Linked DNA regions of Rattus norvegicus. The protein of the gene in region 2 purifies or fractionates together with the protein of the main gene of each other region. This does not show direct contact. Links are inferred from orthologs where the notes say so. Each region holds a gene or a part of one and is shown on either strand. Other genes may lie near its edges.

What was found. Proteins that work in one complex are often made in the same cells at the same time.
Region 1: the proteins of Mpdz (region 2) and Plekha2 purify together in Homo sapiens (affinity purification with western blotting; 3 studies listed by BioGRID and IntAct, with this or other methods). This does not show direct contact. The link is inferred for Rattus norvegicus from reciprocal best matches to the Homo sapiens genes MPDZ and PLEKHA2.

The regions. Positions count from the first base shown.
Region 1 is NC_086034.1:73,683,222-73,686,721, reverse strand, and holds part of Plekha2 (pleckstrin homology domain containing A2), read right to left. Parts: intron 3,460-3,500; coding exon 3,319-3,459; intron 2,801-3,318; coding exon 2,654-2,800; intron 2,163-2,653; coding exon 2,094-2,162; intron 1,791-2,093; coding exon 1,720-1,790; intron 1-1,719. UniProt on the Homo sapiens protein: Binds specifically to phosphatidylinositol 3,4-diphosphate (PtdIns3,4P2), but not to other phosphoinositides. May recruit other proteins to the plasma membrane.
Region 2 is NC_086023.1:100,814,063-100,816,504, reverse strand, and holds part of Mpdz (multiple PDZ domain protein), read left to right. Parts: intron 1-231; coding exon 232-344; intron 345-1,070; coding exon 1,071-1,194; intron 1,195-2,442. UniProt on the Homo sapiens protein: Member of the NMDAR signaling complex that may play a role in control of AMPAR potentiation and synaptic plasticity in excitatory synapses. Promotes clustering of HT2RC at the cell surface.

The sequences.
Region 1 (3,500 bases), on a different chromosome or scaffold from region 2:
TGAACAAGGCAGTAAGTAGCACCCCTCCATGGCCTCTGCGTCAGCCCCTGCCTGTTTGGGTTTCTGTCCTGACGTCCTTCAATAATAAACAATGACTTGGAAGCAAGTGTAAGCCAAGTAAGTCCTTTCCTTCCAAGCTCCACTTTGGCCATTGCGTCTTGAAGCAGCAAAAGGAAACCTAACTACCATAGTGCTAAATGTTCTAACCTTCTAGATTATTCATGCAAATGCAAGAAGTCCCAGAGTCCACTGAGGAGGTGAAATCAACCAAGGAGGGAGCCCTCCCCACCTTCCATCCACTGCCCCAGCTGCATGCTGTTTTCAACGGCATCCAGTTCAACAGCCATCATTGCTGACAGCTGTCCTGAATTCCCCCGAAGGTCCCAGAGAGGTGACACCGCCTAACAGAGCTGAGGCCGCAAAGCCACAGCCTTCCCCATGCACTTCACCTCTCCACTCAAGTCCAGTGTGACTCGGGTAGAGTTAGAGGTAGGGGGAGTTTTCAAGAGTCTCAGGCTAACCACTACCCCACCTCTCCAAGCTGCCCTAGCATGTCCATTCGAGTAGCTTCTTCTCTACACGGGCCCTCCAGGGTCAGGGGGCAATTGGGCATCTCTCATGATCCAGTCATGCTGAGTTCTGCCCCCTAGAGCCACACTTGGGGCAATGTCTACAGCTACTTTCACAAAATGCAAATTATCCCTAGGGCCCTCTCCAGTCCTCTGCGCCCACCGCCCCCCAACTGCTATCTGAAGCTCAGAACAGCATTTCTACCCCGATTCACTGGGTCACACAGCATGTGTGCTTATGAAGGGCTGTGCTATGCTTTCACAGGAGAGCAGGATGCCTACTGTTGATAGATCCCCTTCTGACCTACAGAAAGGAGAGATACAAACATACAATCTGGACGGACTACAAACTCATGGCCAAAAAGATATGCTTGGGGTCTACTGAGACTCATTTCTGAATTTAGGAATGGGGATGGGGCGGTCTCCTGTCAAGTCCTGGATCCTACACAGTGCTCTCAGAAGGTGCCTCTCCTAGTGGAAAGAGGAACGAAATAAAAATACTTGTTCTGCCTGTCAAGTGGTAGCAACAGGGGATGCTATGAGTCACCCCTGTGTTAATGGGGACATCAAGAACAAAGGAGGAAAGGCCTGAGAAATTCAGACAAGGGCAAGTGTGAAGCCAGGGGAAGGCCCTGGTCTCTCTCTGATCCCCATCATCCTGACACCCAGGGCCTGACACCTGACTCTACCCTTGAGAGATACCTAAGTGCCACTCTCTGCTGTCACCAGAAGTTAGCACATAGGCATCATGGGAGCAAGAATGGGGAAATGGGAAGAGGGCACTTTGTCCAGTGCGATCTTAACCCTGGATCAGCTACGAGGCACTAAGTCGGTGGTTCTATACCTTCCTAATGCTATGGCTCTTTAATACATGGTGTGGTGACTGCAACCATAAAATTATTCTCACTGCTACTTTGTAACTGTCATTTTGGTACTGTCATGAATCATAATGTAAATATCTCTGTTTCTGAAGGTCTTAGGCAACCCCTGTGAAACGGTAATTTGATACCCCCAAAGGGACTGTGACCCTCAGGTTGAAAGCCACTACTCTCTAGGGAAGGCTCTTCAACAGAGCTCCCAAAAGTGTAGCCAATGAAGATTCCAAGATGAACAGAGGCTCTCCTCAAAATGAAGAAGAAGAGGCAATTACCCGGACTTGACCAGACACTCGTGAGTCTTGAGAACATCCTTGAGTGGTATGGTGCGCAGAGGCTCTCTATCCTGATGGGAAAGACGGAAGATGGGCAGGTGAGCTGTGCACACGGCCCAGTGACCCACGCCAGTTCACCAACACCCCTCTCTCAGAGTATTGGCTAAAACCGAATCCGGGGAAGAGCCCCAAAGCGGCTCACCGCACAGACGCTGGCAGCCATCCGGGCCCTTTTATAATCACATTATAAAGAGACGCAGGTTGGACAGAGATAAGACAAGAAGTGGCTTGGAAGTCTACATGGGCCTGGCTTCCACTCATGCTCACTCTCTGTTTCTCAGACCTCTCAGGAGGGACCCGAACCCTCTACCTACCTGCTCGCACTTGAAGTAGCAGATGGTAAAGTCATCGAGGGCAAAGAAGCGCCGTTTCCAACTCTTCCGCTGAAAGGAAAAACAAGGAGTCAAACCATCAAGGACAGGTCTCCAGAGCCGGGACTGGCACTGTCACAGAAAATGCCCAGACACCATGGAAGCCAGGCTGCCATCTTCAGCAGGGACAAAGAACAGGAACAATTGGAGTATGAAGTCAGTGAAAGGCCTAGGCCTCCATCTGAGCTCCCATCTTCCCAGGGACCAAGCACCTAATGCCTGAAGAGCACCTGAAGGTCCTTCTCTGCTGCCACCGGAAGCTTCTACTGTGCCAGCTAGTTTTAAATCAACTTGACACAGTCTGAGAGGAGGGAACCTCAATTGAGAAAATGCCTTCATAAGATGGGGCTACAGGCAAGCCTTCTGGGGGACTAATGGCCAGTTCCGAGTGGCAGTTAGCACAGAGGGGTACAGCTCCTCCTCTCACCGTCCTCTGCTCCATCCGTGCTCTCTGGGTCCCAGGGGCATCAGAACCCCAGCGTGGCCCCCATGCTGGCACTCACCACGTTCCCTTGCTTCACACAGTAGCCACTCTTAATAAGAGAAGGCCCGCTGGGGGGACGGCAGCCTGACGTGGGGACGTAGCTCTGAGACCTTCGCAGGAAGGCGTGAGTCCCTGGCTCGCTCCCTTCCGGCCCATCCCCACCATTCTACGAGGAAACAGAGGCACTGTTAACACCCCGGCCACTCCCCTGCGCAGACCAGCCCCTCCCAACCTCCCCGCCACACCTCTGGCTTTTTCGGTACAATGTCAAAGAACTAAGAACCGACTTTGACTCCAACTAGTCTGTGCTCTACTGAGTGTTTTCCCGAAGAACAACAATGGCTAAGAAGAAGAGGAGGAAGAGGAAGGAGGCAACACAGAACCGTAGAAGGCACAAGCACACAGACAGGGCTGCAGACTTTTACCCCACTGCCTCCCTCAGCCCCACTGCCTTTACATTTTATGAGTGCTCACTGCCTGGGTCTTAAGCAAAAGCACAGAGGCCGCACATCCTCAAGATGTCATGGCCCCAACCTCTACCTTGGCACCGACCACATCCACCCTGCACTGAATCGCCCGGGTCATCTTCTTCACTAGCTCCCCCATTCTAATGCTTTGGGCTGGTCCTTGGGCACAATGGACATGTCTTCACTGTCCCTGCACGGCACCCCTAGGCAATGGCACCTGGCTGATGGGTGTCTGCACCACCACTCCCCCGATGATCTCAGTCTTGTAGGCCACCTGCGGTTTCTTCTCTAGGGTGGGAGGAGCTGTCAGGTTTTTGAGAACTTCTGTGGCCACGGGTACCGTCCCAGCCTTGGGTACCTAGGAAGAACGGTGATATGGTCAGCAAAAAATAGAAAGCT
Region 2 (2,442 bases):
GAAGCCATGATTAGAAAACAAAGAAAATTATAGAACTTAATTTTGGATATCTGAGGTTCCTGGGCATTGTGAAGTTTCTTTCTTTTCAATAATGTTTTAATCATTTCTGTGTTTAAGTAGTCAGTCAGTAAAAACTCTCATTTTAATCTAAGTTTTTCTTTGGAGTGGTCTTTTGGGATCTCTTGGGTTAGGTGAACATGCGTTTCCTCCTCTCACTGTGCCCACACACAGGTGGTTGCTGGAGGAGATGTGAGTGTGGTCACGGGTCATCAGCAAGAGCTTGCCAATCCTTGCCTTGCTTTCACTGGGCTGACTTCCAGCACTATATTTCCGGATGACTTAGGGTGAGCAATACATTATCGGGTGTGTCATTTATTCCTTGAGACAGTTGCAGTCTCTGTCCCATGTTCCGGGCACTCACACTGAGGTAAAATAAATGGAGAGGGCATATAAAGTAGAGAGTGTCAATGCTTCTAGTCAGCTAGTCAGATGGGTGGGTTACAGACCACTGCCTGGTCAGAACTGCCTCGAGTATAAACAGTTACCTAGTAAGAGATGAATAGACTACAGACAGCTATTCACCCTACCACACTTCCTGAATTTTCAGTTTTGATATTTTTGAGAGGATATTTTCTTGCTCTTGTTCATTGAACTTTGATTGAAAATACTGAATATATTAGAAAATAACACTAAATATAAAAGCATTGGGAAAGATGAAAAGTAAAGAGAGACATTTAAATTTTCAAGTTATTTGATGCTGCCCTCATTTTGTTCACAATTGACTTTCCTGTCTGAAGTTGAAACTATTGTTTATGACCTTGCATTATGGCCCTTTGAACTTTCATCCCCTCACAATAAGCTGGAAAAAATGAGAATGAGAGTTTCTGTGCCATGAGAACATGTAATAAATAGCATCTTCCTTATCTGTAAATGCAGAATATGCTAGCTATAGTCTGAGTCAGGTAAAGCACAGAGCCAAGGGTTGGGGTGGGGGTGTTTGTGCGCACATGCATACATATGCGTGTGCACATTCAGTTGGGAAACCTTTTTTCTCCTTTCCTTTTCTGTAGCCCTCCACAGTCTAAGACCATAACACTAGACCGAGGACCAGATGGCTTAGGCTTCAGCATTGTAGGTGGCTATGGCAGCCCTCATGGAGACTTACCAATTTATGTTAAAACAGTGTTCGCAAAGGTAAGCTTGCAGTTGTTAACCACTCTGTTCCTTACTAAACATTAATTAACACTGGTCAGCAGCTGGCTTATTAGTTTATGGCCTGAGGTGATGCCAAATGGTTAACACTGATATTTTCTTTTGAAATCCCTGCAGGAACAGGTCATTAAATATTTTTGTCCTGTTTGAGGTTTCATTATGTTTAGAGAAAACTAGTTCAAATTGTAACTCCATGGAAACTCTCAGCAATATACATGACATAATCAATGAAGCCTGTCCTTTCCATTTAATAGCAAGTCACATACGATTATCTTTGGAAAATGGACTTGCATAAAATGTCTACTGTCGAGGACTGGCACGCTTTCCCCTGTGTTCCTTTATAGTTGTGAAACCTAAAGTAGGTACTGAAAAATACACAGAATTAATCTCACATCATGACTAGGGTGTTTATACATTTGAAGAGTGGTGAGCAGACCTGCTGTCTACAATAAAGCATTATTTGCAATCAAGGAATTCAATTACTTTGGAAAAGAAAGCTCTGTATATAGTTGTAGTCATCTACTAAACTATCTTGGGAATGTTTAGAATAAGAATAAAGAGACCGTAGTTTTGATGAAGTCATTAAAATAATAGAAATGCATATAATGGTTGATAATGTGTTATTAAGACCTATTTTCGAAGACTACAAAATTGAATAATGTTTCCTGCAGAAGAAAACTAAGAATCTAACATTTTACAGCACAAAATAGTGGAGTGAACATCAGGCCTACAGAGACTTCGTTCGGTCTCTTTAAATTCTATGGCCCTTGATTTTATGGAAGTTCCTATTATTTTAGAAAAATACTACTATTTTCAACCAATTTAAAGTGCTGTTCCGTGGCAAACTAGCTGTAGGCTTAATTTGTGAGATTTTTTTTTAAAGTTATTGGTATATCCAAAAATACAGACAGCATTTGCCAATGAATAGAAGCACCATGCAATCCTTTCCCTCGGCCTAGGAACAATTTATTTCAGGCTTGCTAGTTAGAACATATTTTAAGAATTTCATCATTATACTCTCCTCATTAACTTTTCCATATTTTTAATCTTATATTTAATTGCATAATTATCGTCTATGTGCGTGCCTTAGATGGAGTTCTTTTTTAAATAGTGATGTCTGTGTTTAATCATAATTATTTAGGGCCTATAGGAATAAGAAGAATCTCTTTTCCCTTGTAGTAAAAACCAAGACGGCTTGAGCAGGCTTTCCTTGCAAAGCGTAGAAAGGAT